Linked DNA regions of Oreochromis niloticus. The protein of the gene in region 2 purifies or fractionates together with the protein of the main gene of each other region. This does not show direct contact. Links are inferred from orthologs where the notes say so. Each region holds a gene or a part of one and is shown on either strand. Other genes may lie near its edges.

What was found. The genes of interacting proteins can lie anywhere in the genome.
Region 1: the proteins of tap1 (region 2) and tapbp.1 purify together in Homo sapiens (co-immunoprecipitation; 6 studies listed by BioGRID and IntAct, with this or other methods). This does not show direct contact. The link is inferred for Oreochromis niloticus from reciprocal best matches to the Homo sapiens genes TAP1 and TAPBP.

What each region holds. Positions count from the first base shown.
Region 1 is NC_031985.2:8,757,619-8,768,507, forward strand, and holds the start of tapbp.1 (tapasin), read left to right. Parts: upstream 1-5,536; 5' UTR 5,537-5,848; coding exon 5,849-5,909; intron 5,910-7,172; coding exon 7,173-7,367; intron 7,368-10,889. UniProt on the Homo sapiens protein: Involved in the association of MHC class I with transporter associated with antigen processing (TAP) and in the assembly of MHC class I with peptide (peptide loading).
Region 2 is NC_031976.2:34,272,643-34,283,916, reverse strand, and holds the start of tap1 (antigen peptide transporter 1), read left to right. Parts: upstream 1-6,182; 5' UTR 6,183-6,321; intron 6,322-6,407; exon of another isoform or gene 6,408-6,575; intron 6,576-7,146; 5' UTR 7,147-7,158; coding exon 7,159-7,479; intron 7,480-8,348; coding exon 8,349-8,577; intron 8,578-9,332; coding exon 9,333-9,447; intron 9,448-9,800; coding exon 9,801-9,931; intron 9,932-10,113; coding exon 10,114-10,319; intron 10,320-10,453; coding exon 10,454-10,651; intron 10,652-11,274. Other genes in the region: uncharacterized protein LOC102078248, read right to left, coding at 422-1,341, 1,479-2,066, 2,903-3,052, 3,779-3,886, 4,219-4,264. UniProt on the Homo sapiens protein: ABC transporter associated with antigen processing. In complex with TAP2 mediates unidirectional translocation of peptide antigens from cytosol to endoplasmic reticulum (ER) for loading onto MHC class I (MHCI) molecules.

The sequences.
Region 1 (10,889 bases), on a different chromosome or scaffold from region 2:
AGAATTACAGCTATTTTACTACGCAGTCCCTCATTTCCAGAGGCTCAAAAGTTGTGTCAGAAACAGCATCTGATCTCACACCTTTAATGTGTGTGTTAAACCCATCTGTGTTTCTTTCAGGGGTGTGAGTGAAGAAAATACTTTGACAATGAGAGGTAACTTAATAAAAGCATGTTAATGGATAGAAATGAGTGGTGTACTGTACAACAAAGAAAATAAACTGAGATTAATCATGAAATAAAACCTTGAGTTTGGTTGAAGCGTTGCTTTGCTGTTTCAATGTTGTTTCTGAACACCTGCAGGGTGTTATTCAGTGCTTTAGTCTCTGTATTCCAGTACTGTGTGTTATTTTCTGTGACTTTCTTCATCCAGTCCTGTTTGGGCACAGCTCTCCTGGTGTTATTGTCATAGTGAATTATCTCAACTTCATCAACCATCCCAACAACCACAAACTCTGGGAAGTTTGGCACCCCAGAAGATCCAGTGTAGAAATACTGTAGGAAGTGAGTCACTGCAAAACAAATGATGTAATTGTTTTTTTAATTCAATATTTTGGCTTTTTTTAAAAAAAAAAAAATAGCACTACAAACTAAAAAGATAATTCAACTAATGAACAATATTCAGCCAATGACAGCTACTACTACACCAACTACTAATACTACACTCACTGGCCACTTCATTAGGTACACCTTGCTAGTATCAGGTTGGATCCCTTTTTGCTTTCATGTCATAGATTCAACAAGGTGCTGGGAAGATTCCTCAGAGATTTTAGCATCAACACACTTTCATCATGTGGTTCTTCTGCTTCTCAGCATCCTAAAGATACTCTGTTGCAGGGGTGTCTAACATAAGGCCTGGGGGGTAAAATTGGCCTAGCAATGACTCCAGTCTGGCCCATTCAATGGCTTTGGAAAATGTGAAGGAGAACAGAAATGTTGTGTTTTTAGTTGTATTTTGGTATGTTTTAAGCTTCTTCTACTGATAAATGTGTAATTTCACTAATTTATTTTTTAAAATGTAAGCCCAAGGAGTCATGGTGACAGATTTCTTTCTGTTGAAACAGCACTTCATTTTTTATAGAAGATATGTAAGGCATTAAACATGTAATTAAGTTTCTGCAGATTGGTAGAAACTGTCATTTCACTGGTCTGGCCTACATAAACTTAAAGTGGACTGTATGACTCATGGACACGAAAATAAACTCAAACTCAGCTTAATTGCTGGACCAGAGAAAATGCAAACTGAACTAAATACACAGAGAGACACGCAGCCATGAAGCGCGAGGGAGATCGTAACGCAGGGCAGAGGGAGACACACAAGGGAAAATGAGGGGAAAAGCCACAGGAACGTGATCTAACTAACCAGACAGGAGGAAACAAAACTGAATATGATGCACATCAGACAGGAGACTATCAAATTAAAACAGGAAGTACTGAGACGCAGCAATTCACAACATAACATGGTAACTGGGAGGAAAGAACACTCAGGGAAATGAGATGGATTAGGGAGATAACTGGAGGAGACAACGAGGGGGACACGGCAACAGTTAAGGGAGAGGAGACACAGAGAGAGTGTCATGGTCCTGAGTCCGTGACTCAGTGATTTTGTGTTTGGTGTATTTATTGTTGTTATTATTATTATTTTCATTATTTGTGGGCTGTTTTGGGATGGTTTGTGTTTTGGATACTGGGTTTCTGGGTTTGTGCTGACTCTGTTGGTCCCTGGTGTTAGTGTTCCCCTGTCTCGTCAGGTTAATCAGGTCAAGCTGTGTCTCCCACCTGTGTGTGATTTCCCAGTGTCCCTCTGTGTATTTATAGTGTGTGTTTGCCTCTGTTCCTCGTCGCGTCGTCTGTGTTCATCCTCTGTGTTCATCCTCTGTGTTACCCTGTGTGCTCTGCATTGCTCCGTTAACCTCTCCGTGACTCCACTATGTGCTCTCCTCGCAGTCTTCCTCTCGTGTTCAGGTTTGCCGTTCTATAGTTTAGTTTTCCCCAGTTTAGTTTATCCTTAGTTCTGTTTTGCCATCCCCACTTTGTGTTCTGTATTCTTAATAAACCACCTTCACATCTTAGTAAGTGCTGCATTTGAGTCCTCCTTTCCACTCATCACACGGCTGCTGCCCCAGTCGTGACAGAGAGAGGTAGCGAGGAAGGGCGGGGAGGGAGTGAGGGAGCGAGAGAGCGAAAGGAGAGACATGACGGGCTGGGGAAACGTAGATAAATATAATCGACGGGGGGGGGGACATGGAATGAAACAAAGAGGGGAACATGGGAATAGAAGAATGAAACAAGACACAATGTCATGGTCCTGAGTCCGCGGACTCAGTGATTTTGGTTTGAAGTATTATTATTATTATCGTCGTTGTTGTTGTTGGTAGTAGTATTTGTGGACTCGTGTTCTTGCCTTGGGATGGTTTGTGTTTTGTGATTTTCTGGGTTGGTGCTCCCTCTGTTGGTTCCTGGTGTTAGTGTTCCCCCTGTCTGGAAAAGACTGGATCTGGATCTGGAAAAGTCATGCAGGTGTTTCTGTCCTTTTTGAGTCCTGGCAAGTATTTTTAAATTCTTATTTACTTGGTACTATTTTACCATGTACTATGTCTTTCTGGAACATGCTCCAAGTTTAATCCTGGGGTGTTGCAGCAAGGGATAATCTGGGGAGAGTTAACTTGAACTCTAAGTTGGTTACTGTGGCAACAGGTCCATCATACACAGTTCAGCAGTTTAATGTCTGGCAAAGTACAAGGGCTGGCCCCTTTGTTGCAAAACTGCATAAATCTGAGGGTTTCCATGACTCAATTTATTTTATGTTAGTGACTGTTTAGTTGGCTCCTTTGCCTTTTTCCCCCAGCATTAAAGCTGTGACTTTTAGCTCAGTTCTGTGTTGCAAAGTCATTTTTGGGCCCACAAATCTTCCTGTCAAACACCTACATATATGACAGACCATGTTTTTCAGCAGACTGAACCAGAGGATGAGAGACATGATAGCACCATACTTACACTGTAATATTTTTTTCAATTTAAAATTAAAGCAGAATAGATTTAATTTTTTTTAATGAACAAAGAAAGTGCTTGCATAATCCAGGTTTGATGTTTAATCTGTTAATTTGTCTGCATTTATTATATTTGCAAAGTGTGAGGAAGTAAACTTAGAAGAGGTAAACTTAGATGAGGTAAACTTAGAATAAAGACCTGTTTATTTCTCCTGAATTGGTGCCACATTTGTTAGGAAAATGAATCATGTTGTCACAGAAGACTTTACACTGAAAGCACCTCTGCAGTCTCTTCTCTTGGTGTATTTAAATGGCAAATAGACAAACGCCTATCATTCACTCTTATTTTATAATGTAATTATTTTATACAGATGGAAATCTTTATACGTATGATATCTATGCTCTACATGCTCCAAGTTATATAGCTTGGTCATCTTTTGATTAGAATCTTTTAATTCTTCTATAATCATAGGTAACACATATGTTGTCACCTGTTTCCTTGTGTCTATCAGACAAACCCTGCTGCGGCTTTTCTGGGGCCCGTTCTTCGTACCTCGCTAAGTAAGTTAGCCGGATTTGAATGTTGACGATTTCGCGTGATCTTGGATCGTTCGGTTCTCCGAAGCTCATCTGGGACTTGCTGTCATAGCAACAGATCCGTAAGCGTAAACCTGCTCGGGAGCAGGCTTACTTTATGTAAACAGGATTAGATCGCGGCCTCTCAGGTATGTCCGCTGCAGTTATATGAAAGCAAGAGCGATATTTCGCCACTGTTTTACCATAAATAAATATCATCAATGTAACTAAAGATAATGTATTTGATTCTTTTATTGATTTCATACAGATACATACAGGTCATTTCCTAAAAAAAGGGAAATGTACTATTAATCATTCTATTACATGTAGTAGATCATGTCAGATGTAATTCATATTTTAGAGTAGTAATAGTAAATTACTACGTGCAATCAAGATGAGAGACCACGACTATAAAAGCGAAGGTGGATTTGGGAAGTCTGTCGCAGCCATGTCCTGTCCGTTTGTACGCGAGCAATATACTTACTCCCGACTTACTGTGCATGGCTCAGTCACCCGTTGCATGGGAACAGGTAAAAGTGATGGAGTGTTATGTCAAACTACACACAAAAAACCCACAATGTCAATAAATGTCACAGTACAAAAAGGGGTGTGACGAGGGGGTGCAGGACCACCACCTGTCTTTATTTGCTCTGCCCTTTTCTTGGTTGCTGTTATAAACAAACAAACAGATTATTCCAGGGTCTCTTCTCATAGACTAAAAGCAATATAAGTGATAAATATTACCATTCTGTGGAATATTCTTATATTTCACTTTTACTTTTTCCCATGTTCTAGTGGGTCCTGTTGTGGCTCTAATGTGAAAGAGGATATGATGTAATATAATATAATGTGGTATAATATAATATCACATGATATAATGTAATATCATGGATCACTTACGAGTTTAATTTGTCAGCAACTTTCTGCCAGCCCTCTCTCCTTGCTTTTGCAGCCTTTGCAGTGTTCCCTTGCGTTTTAATTAAACTCTGAAACTCCTGATATCCCTCAATCAAGAGTTCTTGGTCTGCTGCCGTGAAATACTGTGCGCGCTCCTTCGACATCTTCGCCGACCAATCACAGGGTTGCCGATCAGTGTTTCTACTATCGATGCGTAGCCCCTTTTAAGCCACCCAGTGATCTCAGATTACTTCATCCAGCTATACTAATCGTCAACAACAGGTGTGTTCGGAGAACCGGATTAGCGAGCTCAAAGTTAGCGCGATGATTTGATCTTGGATGTGTCATTTGATCTTGGATGTAGTAAGCGAGGTACGAAGAACGGGCCCCTGGTGTGACTTTGATGCAAACAATGAGGAAATCACATCAGTTAAAGCTACAGTAGCAAGCCTCACTAATTCTGTTGGTGGTGTTTTGCAGAAAGGTCAGTCACAGTGTTAGAGCTCCACCACTGGACTCAAACGGCACTCCATCTCCACTTCTTTCTGTGAAACCACGTGATCACTCTGTTAAGTTTCGTTTTAGGCTGTTATCTAATATATGTGTGCCAGGACGTTAAGGCTTCTTGTCTGACTTGTTCTGCAACGTTCCTGCAACAATAAAGAAGTGAAACAATCAATTATTAACATCAAAATTTTAGACAGGTCAGAAGGACATACATATAAAAATAAAGTGTACAGCTAACTTTTAATCTGTAAAGAACAAGTTACTAAACTCATACAGAAAAGTAATTTACCATGAATTCTGTATGCATTAAAAAACATAAATTAAAAAAAAGAACTTCTATTACTAAAACCAAGGCCTATACACTCAGTATGCTGCTACTACAATATAAAAACAAAGGCTGTGTGTTTAGATTTAAGACTTTTTATTTTTTCTGTTTCTCTTGTCCTCATCTGACCCCTGCCCTCAGACTGGGTTATCTTTCTGATGCCTTGCTGCCACTAACGTAGCACGTTACTCCACAGTTTGCCTTTGGTTTATTTTTAGCCAGAGGGCGCCATCTAGCGGTGGGATGGCAGTACTCCTGAATGCAATTTTGAAGACGTATTCTTTTAAGCTACTGTAAAATCTTTGTTTTTAGGCTTCCAGTTACTTTAATTTTCCAGATACACATTCACTCTCATGTCAGCTAATCCTGATATATTATAAACTTATGGCGTGTTTTTGTGTTTTTCCTGGATAACTGTCGGACTCGTCTGTATGTGAAAGCGAAACTAAACTTGATCTCGTACTTGAAGGGGAAAACCAGCCAACTAAACCTTGTTTAGTCCGTTTGGTTGCAGCTAAACGAGGGTATCTGTCTGTGAGGAAACACGGATAAACATGACGGAATTATCTACCATCTATAAACTGTCTCTGATCGCCGTTACCTGCTTTATTCAAGGTAAGCTAGTCGAGCTCATTGTTGCTCTGCTGGTCTGACAGACAAAAATACATCTATGCATGCTGTATTACTAATATTATAAACCGTACATGTAAGAAAAACCTTTTTTATATGCATGGAAGTCATCTATCTGTTCAGTAACATCAAAAAGTTGCAAAACAGCTGGTTGAAAATGTCCAAACCAACTTGGACTATAACGTCACGTTTAACTAAACATAGTAAAGTTCATATTTGATGACCCTTTTAAAGCCGAATTTAAAATAATGCCCAAATGCGTCTTAAAACATGTAAGTGAATGTTATAGGTGTATGCATGATTACGTTTAACAAAAATAACCGAAATTTAACACGCCTATTTTCGTGCCAAAAACGTGATCGTCTGTCCAAAAGTGATTTCCGGTATTTGCCGAAAAGTGATCATCTATATTTAAACTGCTGTAAATTACTTGTTGACCATTAATATGTGAAAGAACGTAGAAGCTGCAATCACTTTCTGGCAAAGTTATCCTACATTTAACCAGTTAAAAAGTGTCACGGACATTAAAAACGTCTTCTTTTAGAGGCATATGGCCATATGGCCATATCGTATATGAAAACTACAACAAATATAACAACAGTTAAATAAAGATATTTTAAAAGGCCAAAAAGGTCTGAATTGGTTACGAAGTAGGTACAATAAAACAATTAAAAAAAACAAGAGTCATAAAGATACTCTTTGTTTTACATGTTACCCCTTTGTAAATCCTGCTGACTATAGTCTACAGTATTTAGAAATACAATCACCAATACCTGAAATCACAAATTGAAGCAGTGCTGTCTTCACTTTAGTGATTAAGACTGTGCACAGGAAACAGCTGGAGACTTAATTTTCTGGGAAAGGTAGATGGGCTGCTGCCTGTTTGCTAAATGAAAAATCAAAAAAAAAAAAAAAGGAGGGGAATAAACCAAAAGCAAAACACTGAAGGGGTGGAAACAGTTAAGTACAATATTTATGGGTTGCCAGACAGAACTGGACTTTTACTTTTACTTTTAGCTGTGATTTTAAACTGGATCTCATGAAACATATTACACTTGTTTTAACTTTCTGTTTCAATAATAATTCCTATAACTGCCTTGTTTATTGGTTGAGCTTGAAAAGACAGTTAGCACAACAATAATTTTCTGAGTGCATGATGTCGGGAAACATAATGGCATAATATAATGTGGTCTGATATTTACAGAGATTTTACTACCCATTAATCTCCTGTTAAACTTTTGTCTGAAGCCTGCAGCAGCAGCAGCTGTCCGGTGTTGGAGTGCTGGTTTGTGCAGGAGAAGGCAGGACGAGGAGGAGGTTTAACTGGAGCTACGACCCAAGAAAAATCCCTGCTTCACATCAGAACTGAAGAAGACGGACAGAATGACGAGTCCCAGCGGGCTCCTAAAGACATCAACCCCGAAAGAGTCTACTCTGTGATCGGTTAGTTAAAAATGACAGAGAAGAAGATGTTTAACCACACATGTGTCTGGATGTTGGAGAGAGAGAGTGTACAGTGTGCACTCTGCTATTTTACATTCACCTGTGTGGGCCTTTGTGCGTGTATTTAAAGTTAGTGTGGTCAAATTATTTGAATACAGAATCAGCAGAATGAGTAAAATACAATCCAGCTTAGTTAAATAAGTTCTGTAGCTTGATAAAAGTCACATTTTATCAGAGTTTAGGTCCATTTTTCTTCTCCTCTTATCTGGATGCATTAAATCTGGTTGAGTCCCAGTATGTCTGAACCACGGCTAATAGATTATACCACTGCTAAAGCCTGAGGCAGATACTTAACGTCCAACATGACAATGAAAATAGCTCAGTTAACATAGAGGAGTCCTTTTTGCATAAAATGACTGAAAACCATAATTATTTACATGGAAACATTTTAGATGATCTGCCGAAAATAAATGAAATGGTACGGCCGAAACAGTCACACTAACATTTCATCATCTATGATGGTTCCATTCCTTCGCTGTAGCATCATTTTGATAAGTCACAGCAAAAATCCCACTGATGGAAAAATAGTCATTCAGTATCATCATCATCATCATCATCATTTATTTATATAGCACTTTAAAAACACACCTGGTAGACCAAAGTGCTGTACAATACTAATATGCACATAGTAATAAAACCAGACAGCAAAAAAAAAAAAAAAAAGTCAGTTACCCACAGAGTTAAAAGCCAGGGAATAAAAATAGGTTTTTAATAAAGACTTAAAAACTGGCACTGATGTAGCCAGTCTAATATGGAGAGGAAGGTTATTCCAAAGCATCGGCGCTGCTACAGAGAGCGCTCGGTCTCCTCTAAGTTTCAGCCATGACTTTGGGACCGAAAGCAACACAACTGCTCAGCTGATCGAAGGGAACGAATGGGGACATGGGGCTTCAACAAGTCAGACAAATAAACAGGTGCCAGACCATTTAGAGATTTAAAACAACACGTTCTCACTCCCAAAGCGTAACATTTTACGCTAGGTGACAAATCGTCAACATATTACGTTTTCGGCTACCCACCACGTTCCTAAATGACGACCTCGGAAAAATGAGGAAATGTGAGAACCATCTGGACTCAATCTACACATGTTCACTCTTTTTCTTCAAATCGCTTAGAAACACGCTATTTAACATCATTAAAGTCCTGGTTAAGGTCAGGAATAAGGTTATGGTTAGGGTTAGGGATAAGGTTAGGTTTAGGGCTGGAATACAGGGCTGGAACGTCTATTACCGCGGGAGCGTCATTGCACTGGATTTCAGCCATAACCCGCCGCGTACCATAAGAACGCCGAAGGTCTCCTTTCGCGTTCCTCAGGAACGCCGCGGGACGTGACAAAATGTCAGCATGTTACGCCTCGGGAGTGAGAACGGGCTGTTTAAAAAACAATAAAAGGACTTTAAAACGGGTCCTAAATTCAATTGGAAGCCAGTGTAGAGAGGCCAAAATCGGAGTGATGTGATCAAATTTCCTTCTGCCAGTTAAAAATCGTGCCGCAGCATTTTGCACTAATTGCAAGCGTGACAAAGTGCCCTGCCCAACCCCTATTAAAAGAGAATTGCAATAATCTAAACGTGAGGTAATAAAGGCATGAATAACACATGAATAACAAGAAAAGAAAGGGCTTAACCTTCGTTAAACGTCTGAGGTGATAGAATGCTGATTTTACCACCCCGTTTACGTGGTCATCAAAGGTAAGTGCAGAATCAATTTTAACTCCGAGATTTGTGATCGAACTCTTTAGTTGGGAAGTCGAAGCTGCAAGATCAACATCTGGAGTATGAGAAAAACGATTTGGGCCAAATAAAATCGCTTCTGTCTTCCGATCATTAAAATTTAAAAAGTTTTTTGCCATCCATGCTTTGACATCAGTAAGGCAGTCAAGCAGAGGTCGACTTGGGAGACTATCAGAATGACTAAAAGGTAAATAGAGCTGGCAGTCATCTGCATATAGATGGAATGGCACTTTATGTTTTCGGAAAATCGCGCCAAGAGGCAAAAGGTACAGTGAAAACAATAACTGTCCAAGAATAGATCCCTGTGGCACACCCCAAAGCAGAGGGGCCACAGAGGATGAAGCCGACCCCAACTTAACACAAAAGGTCCTATTTAAGAGATAGGACTTTAACCACAAAAGTGCCGAACCAGAAATTCCCACACAGTGTTGTAAGCGGGAGATCAGCAAATCGTGATCCACTGTGTCAAATGCAGCGGTCATGTCCAACAAGACCAGCACTGCATATTTACCACGGTCTGTCACTATCAGGATGTCATTCATAACTTTTACGAGGGCTGTCTCCGTACTGTGGAATGGCTTAAAGCCGGACTGAAAGATTTCTGACAATTTAGAGTCATTCAAGTAGTCCATCAACTGAGTATAAACAATCCTTTCCAGAATCTTACTAAGAAAAGGAAGCTTAGAGATGGGTCTAAAATTAGATATGACTGAACTGTCTAAGCCCGGTTTCTTAAGTAAAGGATATATGACTGCATGCTTAAATTCCCTAGGTACTTGACCAGACAAAAGACTAGCATTAATAATGTTCAGAATGTGTGGTCCAATGATAGGAAATACCTTTTTAAGAAAATGGGGAGGAACAACGTCATTTGGAGAGCCACACGGTTTAGCATTCAACACAAGTTTCTCTAAATCAGATAAAACAATTGGTAGAAAAGCAGAGAACAAACTTCAGCAAGAACCATGCATGGCTGGGTCAGCAGTAGGTAGAGTCGGACGTCTCAAACTAGCAACCTTGTCCACAAAATAATTAAGAAACTTATTGCACATAACCGCAGAAGAGTGCAAAAGAATATAGCCTTCCGGATTAAGTACAGAATTTATAGTGTTGTATAGAACACGAGGGTTATGCGAGCTGGCAGCAATAAGTTGGGAAAAATAGGAGTGCTTGGCAGCCTTTACTGCTCTCTGATAGACTTTCCAGCTAGTCTTAACAGCTTCCATAGAGACATACAGCCTATCTTTTTTCCACCGTCTTTCACATCTTCTACATCCTTTTCTAGCAGCTCTGGTAAAATCAGTTAGCCAAGGACTAGCCTTTGGCTTACACTGTCTGAATCTAAAAGGAGCGACAACGTCAAGGACAGATTTACAAGCAGAATCCAAATACGAAACTAATCCATCTGAGGTGAACAACTCAGGAGGAGTAATAGTCAGGTGATCAAAAGTTACTGCACATAAAGTGTGTATTTAGCACATTAGGTCTGCAAAACATGTATTTCCTAGGCTGTTAGTTTGACTCCATCAACATTTCTCTTTGAGTTATTAAATGTTATGTATACATAACAATTCAGATAATAAATCTAAACAGGTATTCATAGCAGCTCTGCAAGTTTCTATATTTTTCTTTTTGTATTTTTATGGATTCCATTATTGACCAAAGCATCTCTTTTTAAGATTTATTTGTTATGTATTTTCAAATGTGTAGGTTAAAGGCACATTTGTTT
Region 2 (11,274 bases):
ACAGCTTGGTTTGAATTTGATGATTTCACACATACACACACATCTGCGGAGTCCTAACAACTTGACTGTGACTGCTCTGCCTTTGAAAGAATTCTGTAAAGTGCTTCTGGTAGCTGTTCACATTTAATTCACAAAGGAAAATATCAACTTTGACACTTGAGTTGACTTTGACCTTTTACATCATACATATCGAAACGATAGAATAGCAGTTTTGGTTTGGTTTGCCAAATGATGCTCCGAATAACATGAAACAATCGGAGGCCTCAAAATGAACGTAGTGCTTAAATTGTTTCAGCTACAGCAAGACAACTACACTGCTTCAAGAAGTGCAAATATAAAAGAAGGATCCGCCATCAAGTCTCAAACAAACGGTGTATAATACAAAGTTGGTATTAACATGGTAACAAGCACCAACATTGGTCTACGGGTCACCGACTCTCTCAGGTTGTTGCCCTGGAGCTCCTCTTTCAAAGCAGCATTCCTCCCAAAGCTCATTAAACAAGTTTCCAGTTCCACCAAAAGAACAAGATTGGTCCTTTTTGGAGTCACACAATCTTAAATTCATTTTTTTAAACACAGCACAGAAAACCTGGCGTGAAAGCGGCGCTGTCTTCTGCTCTATGCAGTGGCTATAGTAGTACCTGTAGACCTCGGACATGTTTGAGAAGACTGGCTCCAGACAGAGCTTAGAGATGGACGTTCCACCACAGTAAGATGACACTTTTGGTAAACTTTCTAGAAACTCCTTCAGGACTATATGCTCTGAAGCTTTACGGGATTTCCTCTGCATTCGCTTTTTACTGTTCTCCTCCAAATTGTCTAGCTGGGAGGCATTCTGGGCCCAGTTAAGCACTGACCACTCTCCAATCCCCAAAGTGGAGAGGAACATTTTTTTGCAAACTTGTTTTTTATCGCCATCTGCTATCAAATGATATCGCATTGAGACTGATCTTCTAGACTGAGTCCACGGTGCACGGGTTCTTTCCACCGGATCACAGTCCACAAGCCCAGCCACATAGACCTTCCTCTGAGTCCAGTTCATACACTGCCAGAAACCAGTGAACAGCTCATTCCGCTTTTCCTCACTAAAGTCAGCACAAAAACGGTTCGATGCCCTTTTGCAGGCACTGGATGTGCATCTTGGCCCCATTGACCTCTGAGCTTTAGTAATAGTGGCGCCATCTTTCTTTCTCTTGCTGGTGTATGGTTTTCCCTCCATCCTGAGTTGCTTCTGACGATTTTGTTTCCATGTTAGTGGTTTAGCAACTCTGGATTTCTTTCGGATTGCCCCCTCTGTTTCTGGTGGCCTGTTTTTGTCTTTGTCAGTTGCATTCATGTGTTCTGTAAAAACATGGGAACCTTATTAACATGCACGTATCATTATTGAGATATACCTCATTGCTTCTGCCAAAAATTGTGTAAATCAGGTCTATGAGTTTATAAAGTAACTGATAAACAGTGAAAGAAAAAACACTCACCTTGAGTAACTAATGCAGTGTTGCTGTCTACAGGAGGGCCAGTCACAACTGGCTTTTTTTCTGACTTGCTTTTGTTTGATTCAGTCTTTTCTGTTGCTGTTCTATGTGCCCAGTTGAGCACAGACCACTCTCCAATCCCAAGCGTGGACAGGAACATGTTCTTACATACTTGTGTCCGTTTGCCATCCACCATCAAATGATAACGAAGTGACACCGATCTCCTTGAAGGCAACCCCGCAGCCCGAGATCTTTCCACAGGGTCACGGTCGACTTGTCCTGCTACATAGAGCTTTCTCTGAGCCCAGTTCATGTGCTGCCAAAATTCATTGAACACCTTCTTCCTTGTTTCTTCAGTAATTTCACCACATAGCCGATTTGTCGTTTTTTTGCATGCATCCGAAGTGCATCTTGGTCCTATGGCTCTTGGGTGTTTGGTTACAATCTCACCATCTTTCTTGCGTTTGCTTACATATAATTTTCCCTCCATCCTCAGCTGTTTCTGCTTGTTTTGCTTCCACTTTAATGGATCTGCAACTTTGGCTTTGGTTATTTTTCTGACAGCGCCTACTTTATCCAAATTAAGATGTGCTGTACAAACAGATCAAAAAAACAGAAAACAGAAAAACATCTTTGTTGTTATTTTTCATCGCTAGCACTGGAGGTCTGGGATTTTTCAGACTTCCAAAAAATATTTCAGCAGTGTTTAAATATCAGCATTTTACAGCTTTTTATTTAATTTCTGCAGAAAAATAACAAAAATGCACTTGAACATGTATAAGGACATTTAGTAACACTAAAAAATGTATAAAATATCTTATCTCGGAATTAAACCCTCAAAATCTTTTCTAAAAAATATTGGAGATATTTAATGGTCTTATTATTATTCTGATAGCACTCAAGCATTTCAATTGAATGTTCACAAAAATAACTTTTTATAAATAATAACTTTATGAATAAATGAAGATGTCCTTGTGTGACAGAAATATTTGTTAACAAAAATTATTTTCATGTCCATGTATATACCAGTTGTCCCCCACCATACATTACAAATCCATAATATACTTCTATTTAATTCCGTAATTTTTAATGACTTCTTCAAACTGTTGTTTTTCCAGGGGTAAAATAATTGTACTGAATACATCTTTATGACTTTAAAAAACAAGAACTGGATGCACAAGTTTGAATTTAGTTTATTTTTTGTTACAGTTCAATTCACAAATACCAGGCATCATGTATCACTATCACACAAGGACATTTTTATTTATTACTACCAGCCTAAACATCCATGTCATTTACATGGATGGTAATCATTAAAACTAGAGATGCACCAATAGGCACACAAACAGCAGCACAGGCAAATACTTGCATGCACACTTGTACATCCAAGTAAAGCTGGATGTACATTAACTCTTATTTGTACTTACGAGTGTCAGCACCCACAGGTGCTTGGTGATGTACAGGAAATTGGGAGATCATCTGCTGCTCACCTATTGTCATTGAGTGGGACCATTTTTTAACCACTCCATCTTTGTCCACGTCAGAGTTCCTGCTTGCATCACCGACATGCAGGTGGTCTGTGTAGAGAAACATACATTGTAACAAGCAGCAATGAGCTGACTGTCCAGAATTCTGTCAGCAGTAACTCTCCCCATAGTCTCCACATGTAATTGTGCACACATCAACAGCCTATTTTACATTGTTGTAGCTCACATTCATGTTCAGTAAATATGTCTGTTTGTATGAAGCTTTGTTTTGTTTTTAAATATACTCCATGTTTGCCTGTATCAATGGCTCTGTGGTTTATTGAGTCATTTATAGACCCAAAATTGAACTCAAAATGAGCTTTAATGTTGATTTTCCAGGTGATAAACTGTCCAGAATACACAAGACAAGTTACAAAAAATAGGACATTTATACATCTACATTATAAACACAAGGGCTACAAAGACAAGGAACAGGGAGCTGGAGGGATGAATCAATAAAGGCTAAAAACACAAGAGTATACAGAAATAACTCTAAAAAAAGAATATTAACAAAACACAGAAAAAACAAAACAAAGAACTGAAACCCCAGATACTCAGAAGCTACTAATCATCCGTAATCAAACAGACACTGACACTGACCCTTATGAACAAAAAGAATCATTTAAAAGTGTGAAATATTCAAGCAGTGACCAGAGTGGCCTGGGATTATGTTACATTTTGTGAATTATTGTTTAAGTCTGCCTCTGCTTGTTAGGTCAGGTGAATACCTGATATTTTTCACATTTCATTAAACATTGCATGAGCTCATATACCCACCTGGGGGGATGTGATGCTGCCCAAAAGTGTCAGGGACTGTGGGTCTGTGGACTGGGGTTTCGTGGGTGGGTTTGGGAAGGAGACCAATATCCTCCATTGCTGCAATGGCTAAAACATGAAAAAGAAAAGAATTATTATTGTATTTTACGATTGATTTTAAAATCGCATTTTCTCCAGCTATCTTTCTTTCCCCTCTTAAGACATCACTAAAAGCAGCCTGAAACCCCGTCAGTGCAGCTGTTTACTGTCCACAACAAACCCATGTGGCCAAATCCAGATGTTTTAGCTTACGTAGAAGTAGGCGTTGCTGGGCCTGAGAGTTACGGGAAAAAGCAGATCGAGAAGCTGTTCCTAACGCGGTATGTCTGGCTAAGCTCTTAACCCTTCATGCAGGCTGAAACCTTTAAAACGACACATTTCTGCCGTTCGTGTTTGCTTACATAGCGTTATACATTTGAAAACGTCTCGTAAACCCGTCGCTTCCATCCAGACCAGCTCCCAAATGTCCCCGCTGCCAACTGTTTACTCCATCGTGCCTCTGGCAGCGAAACTCCGCAGCAGTCAAATCAGTTAACTCGACTTTTATTTGGCTAAATGTTCATAACTGTAGGCTCTGAGGGGCTTCTCACAGGCAGCTGCCATGTCTGAGCATGCGCATCCAGGCTTTCCAGGGTACATACAAGTGACTTTATGGTGTGACAGTTTATAACAGAGATGCGAGCTCAGTTTCACAAATGTATGAATCACATATGTGTAAAGTTACGCCTTAATTTCATCCAAAGTGAAACAAAAATTAATATTATTGTTGCAAATCCCATAAGGTCTTCTGACACTATTCTAATGCAGGCCATCTATGCAAGTCTTACTGCAAGAATAATTTATATAATTCAATTCTGTGGTTACAAATAGATTCATTGCTTTAGTTTGCACTAGAAGAACAATAACAGCAATGTGCCTTACTACTTAAATGATTACTACTTTTTCATTTTTCAAATGTAGTGTCCCATACTGATTTTTAAATGAAAACTCTTTAATCAACCCACTTGCAGTTATGTATAGTGTTCCTGTTTTCAGTGCACACAATGTATTTGATTGTGCACTGAATTTAAAACGAGTGATATCTAACAACCTGTAAATATGCTTTTATATACTGAAAACTGCTATGAAAAAAGACAGTGTAAGAGCATCATTCTCCATAATAATAGGTCTAATAGGTCAACATAAGGATTCAAATTAGAAGTATTCAATGGCTGCTCTCAGCTCAATATTTTGAGTGATGGAACTAAATCTATTTACGATAGTAGCCTATTTTATTTACCATCTGTGGTTTGCACCATCGCCTCACAGCAAGAAAACCCTGGGTTCAAATCCATCACAAGGCTGGAGCTTTCCTGCATGGAGTTTGCATGTTCAAAACCCTGAATTGGATAAGCATAAGAAAATGAATGGATGGACTTGATTTTTTTCATTTAGTAAAGCGTGCTACTTTTGAACAGATTACTGTCGATTTAATTAACAGTTATGATTACTAGGTACTAGAAACTCTTCATTCCGTCCAAAATTAACCGCAGTGAACTACAGTATAAACATGCTGCATAAATTTTAAAGAAATAATTATCCCAAAAGTATGTTATATACTGCTGCAGTTGAAATTTCGAAAATAGTTTCCATTTCCCAACATAGAAACTAGAATACAGTAAAAACACAAAAAGGGATATTGTATTGACTGAATCCAGATTAAATTGGTTTAGAATTCTAAATTTTAACCTCAGGTTTTTTATGCAATAAAGGATAAATCTGTTGTTTTTTAAGTGCTGAAGTGTAAGAAGTTGGCTAAAGATGTATTTCATTGCTTTTCAAAATAAACAGCAAAGCAAACACATGCTTTGTGATTTACAGGGGTTTACAAAGAGGGTTCCTAAAATAGTAGGAACACTTTTAGCTTTGCTTTTTCCAGCCATCAAACCGGAAAGAAGGGAAAGGAAGGAAGCTGTCAGGGAGTTCAAAGTTTCTGTTGGGGGTTTCAGTGTCCAAGACCAGGCAAGAGACAACATGTGACTGTCAGCCAGGCAAATCAGGCAACTGCTTCTGTGAGATGAAAAGAGGAAGATCTCAGAGGAGGTTCATGTGGCTATTATTGTCTGAGTTTACACTCAGTCTAAACCAATAAAGATAATTAAACAATATGTATCAAAACTACATCACAAAAAAATATACATAGCTATTTAGTCTACTGTTGTTTCTGGGACCAGAATGCATGAATGAATGAATGAATATATGAAAGTACAAAAATATATATCCAAGCGATTTATGTAATTACTGTGATTCTAGCTGTTGTTCATTGGAGACGCTAGAGTCAAAAGCTCATGCAATTGTACCTCCTCGCCACATGGGGTCGCTGTTGGACTGGTTTTCATATCAGGCACATCCTATCAACTTTGCAGTGTTGGTGGCAGCAGGCACTCCACACACTGAAGTTATTCTTCAAAAACAAGTTTTCTGAGGAATAATGTTGAAATAAAAACGTCACGGTTTAAGTAAAGGTAAGTTTTGTTTGTCGTTGGTCTTCGGTAGGAGGACGTATGTGGGACTTTCCATTACCAAGGCTCTATAAATAGTTAGTTTCGGTTTCAGTTTTGCCAGTCACTGGTCGTCGGTTCGTGACTGAACAGGCTGCCGGTTTGTAGATATTAAATTAACGTTTTGAACTTGGTCTGAGGTTATATTCGACTTTTTCAAAGGTTTGCGACGTTCGTCGAAGCAAATTTGTCGTGTCGCAAAGAAACTGAGTAAGTAGGTAGGTTGGATTTAAGGGTAATTTTAACAGTTGCTATCCCCTGTAAATTCATGTAGTGTACGCTATCAATGCTGTTTATGATAATAGGTGTGAACATTTGCCATAATTGTTTGTATATGTGTGTGATGTTTGGTTTATTCACGGAGCCATTTCAAAGAAATCATCAGGGCAGCAGAAAATGAAAGTAAATGCGATCGGCAGCAAAGTGAAAGTAAATAGGGACCATTGTCTTTGAAAGGCATTCAAAATGTAGGCCTGGTGTGGAGGTAGAAGTGACCAGGTGTCCATTTTTATGTGCATCATGTTTGATCCGTCAGTCCCATCTACCCAACACATATAGACGTAATGTCCCTCTTCCAGGCGAAAAAGGAAATACTCTGGTGTACAAAGACTAGTGCATGGTGCGTTAAAACGTTAATAAATGAGTATAAGTTGAAAAAGTAAAAATACAATAGATTCTGTCAAAGATTGCCCACTGGTGACACATAGATCATCCGTATTTTATGTTTTTGCATGTTTGCATATTGTGCTGATATTAATACTCAGCTGTCTCTGTCATTTGTTTTTGCAGAGTGTGTGCGTAATGCAGAAGATGAGCTACTTTTTCCCGGTGCTTTGCGTGTGCCTGGATGTGTGTGTGGTGCACACCATCCGCCTGTCCCAACTCTCGCCTCTCCTGCTCTCCCATCCGTTCATCATCCTATGGGGAGGAGCCCTGACCAGAGCCTCCGTCCTTGCCTTCCTGGCCTTCACCTATCCTGGAAGCCTACCATGGACTAAAAGCTTCGAGGGGCTCCAGAGCTTAGGGGTCCTTTGCTTCCACTTCCCAGTGTACGCTACTCTTCTCTGGGTGCTTGGGCAGTCCACCATGGAGGAACTGTGGGGGTGGCACTCCTGGGAGAGGGTGAGTGTATGTGTTTTGTTGCCTGCCATGCTACAATATGTGCAACCTTGGTGAGCTGCAAGAAGGAAAATATGAAATCATTACCTAATGCACTTTGAGGGGACATATCTCAATAAGAAATTTGCTTTTTTACGTGCAAAAAGCTGTCTGTGAACTGCAGGATTCTTACTAGCTACTTTGAAGTTTAAAATGCGTTACACAAATCTTATGATAAGAGTTGCAGTTTATTGTTCTATATCAGTAACTTCTCCAGCAGCAGAAAGTTGTAAAAGTGCCAGTTAAAACTGCAGTATCAGTAACAACAATCAAATATATTAGATAATGAAAATATCAGGAGCATTTGGCTGAAATAAGAAGCATGAACACAAGTTAATGTATCTATAATCTATATTTTTTTATGCTATTTTTACTTGGAATGTTTTTACATTGTGTTACTGCTATTTGTGGCCACCTCCTTTACCACTGTTACTGGCCACCCTGCAGTTCTTCAGTTCTTCTTCTTTTGTTTCATGACAGAAAACCACTTAACAACTTTGTGACTACTGCCAGCATGGCTGGGATACACATAAATTGTTGCTTTCACATGTCTTAAGTCTGATCAGCAGACAAAACTCACATTTACAGATTAATATAATGAAAAAGTGAATCTAGTTTTGCTCTATATGTGTTTATTAGATTTCTAGTAGTAGATATCTCAGATAATTGAACAGCTTCCAGTGTAATTTAACTGTTTTTGAGCAGAAAAATAAAAATAATGTATAAAAGATACTCAGCCTGGAACAAGATCTGAAACCAAAACCAATTTATTTCATCTAAGCTAAATAAACAAATATATAATGGTTATATTAAACCTGTCCTTTGTCCTGCAGGTGTTACAGGGTTATATTGTGACAGTGGTGGCCTGGCTCTACTGGAGTCGGTATGTGTCATCTCTTTTGATCTCCTGGGGCCAGTACATTTCATCTTTTATTAAGAGGACACCATCTCAGAAGCCAAAAGAGGAGACTGGGGCCTCTCTGAAGAGACTGATGGGATACATGCAGCCCTTTTTCTGGCGCTTTGTTGCTGTGCTGATACTTGTCTTTCTCTCGTCTTATGGTATGTGAAATAACACCTTTGAAGTGGGGTCTGTTGTGCTTTTTCTTTATTTCCATCATATTTATAGTATTACAATGGTGTATATTCATATTAAACATCACCAGAGTGACAAATAATGAGGTTAGCATACGTGAAAGTAACGTCATGCTTCAGACTCTGTTTCAGATAGTTTTTTCTACTACTGACTCTGTATAATGTCATTGGGAGCTGATTTCCCCAACTTGGTCATCTGTGAAGAGAGAAGCTTCAGCCACCTGCTGTTCAAACATTCTGTTTAAAGAGAGGGGGAAGGGTGATAAATGTGCCCGTTCCAGACAGTGAATAACCTAGAGGGTTGTATTAAGGCCCAGTATAAGATAAATAAGGATTATTTTGAACTTTGAATCATGTGTGGAGCTCCTTTAGTAGAGTCCAAGAATATCAATCTGGAGCCTAAATTGTAATATGCCTCTTTTCGTTTAAATTAAAGCGTGTATGTCCTTCTTGCCACTACAGTGTTTTGAAATTATATCCAGTAGTTATCATTGTGTTCGTGTCAGTGTCCTCATGCTGTTAATTTAAGTATAGGAAAAAAGGTCTTGTTTTCTGCAGCACTAGCTGCATATCTGTAATAATGCCAGCAACATGAAACCGTAATTGTAGGCAAATAAAGAAATGTAATCACAGTCCACTGACGCTGCTGAGTGTAAAAGTTAACCTGGCAGTTGGGCTTTGCCAAAGATCAGTATGGTGATAATGTTAACACCTGCTTTCAGGTGAGATGGCTATTCCTCAGTACACTGGACGCATGGCTGACTGGATCATGAATGAAGAAGCACCTGACGCCTTCACAGAGGCCATTACAATCATGACACTAATGACCATTGCCAGGTAATATAACCTTTGTCTTCTTTGGTTATTAAAGTTGGTTTTTAAAGGTTCTCTCTGTTTACTAATGCAGAACGATTTAATTAGAATAAATAAAAAACATGTAATCTGTTTGCTAAAAATTTCCGGGAGTTTTTATTTTTTAATACTCGGAAATGAACTGAAAGAGTGTTGTGAGGATGGTCAACGTTAACCTAGGATGCTTTTTACACCCGAGCTCCTCCTCCAACCCATGTAGTGTAGTTTCAGTCAATTCTGATATGTGTACAACAGAAGCTTAACAAAAGCTTAAGGATATGGCTGTAATAATATTTTATGTACTTTTAGTGTAACTCTTTCTCTGCTTTATGTCTCAGTGCTGTGCTCGAGTTTATATGTGACCTCACGTACAATATCACCATGAGCCGCATACATACCTCGGTGCAGGGAGTCGTCTTCCAGGCCGTGCTGAAACAGGAGATTGCTTTCTTTGATGCCACTTCAACAGGTAAATTATGTACAAACTGTATACAAGATTAATGTTTCATTAATTAATAACTAAAACCCTAAAGGCCAATCTCAGTTTCCTCTTAAAAAGTTTTGTGAACTTGTTACAAATAATCCAGAAAAAAGAAGTATATATACACTTAAAATGTGATCCCTTTAAGAAGACTCATGCTGTACTGTTAGGTGAACTGGTGTCACGGATTACCACTGATACCAACAGCGTGAGTGAAGCTCTGAGCGAGGAGCTGAGTCTTCTGATGTGGTACACGGCACGTTTCGGCTTCCTCTTGTTCTACATGGTGAGCCAGTCATGGAAAATGACGCTGCTCACATGCATGGGGCTGCCCATCATCTGGGTCATACCCAAGCTCACCGGACGCTTCCACCAGGTGATGTGAAAAATTTAGCTTTAATTACTTGTTCATCAGCTCTCCTCTGATCAGTTACATTAGTGACGAATCAATAAGGTGTGTCTTGATTTACTGACTCAAACTCCATAGTTTAATTTTTCATTATATTTCAGACTATTGCTGTGCAAGTTCAAGAGTCACTGGCAAAGGCTAACCAAGTGGCCACAGAGACCTTCTCAAACATGAAGACAGTGAGGAGTTTTGCCAATGAGGACGGTGAGACAGAGAAGTACAGACTGCGCCTGGAGGACACTTACGCCCTTAATAAAAAGGAGGCAGCTGCCTATGCGGCTTCTACCTGGGCTAACAGTGTGAGTTGAACACTGATCCATGTTACAGAGTATTTGCAGTTTTTGTTTAGCTTGACTTGTGTGAATATGTGACAGTGGGAGAGTCTAAAGGCGGCTAACAAGACATTTAAACACCTTTTATTTGTTGTTTTTATAGCTAGAAATTGTAACTGAGATAAATACACAAGGGGAAATATGATCATAAATTTCAAAGAGGATCTATTGTGCTTTTCGGTGCATACGAAAACATAAATGCAATCAGATCTGACCTTTAACCTGCCTACTCCTGCTCCTGCTGTTGTGCTGTATGTTCAGACATGCATAGCTAATTCCTCTGGTGGTGTCTGGAATGAGAAAACAGCCTACATCACTATTGGTACAAGTCTTTGTTGACAGAGGATGTTTATCACTTAAGCAGTGCATTTCTCACACCTATGAATATATATAGGCCTTGTTATTAAGAGGCCAAACCCATCATTATATCACACAATAAGCAGGTAAGGAGTGTAGCAGATACCAAACATTTGTCCAGCTGCAGTCTTCGGTGCTTATTATATTCTCTCGTTTCAAAGTGAAGTGCATAAAGGGATCCTTTTAACTTTAAATCACACAAAGCAATTTTCAATAAATCTAAAAGAGGGTAC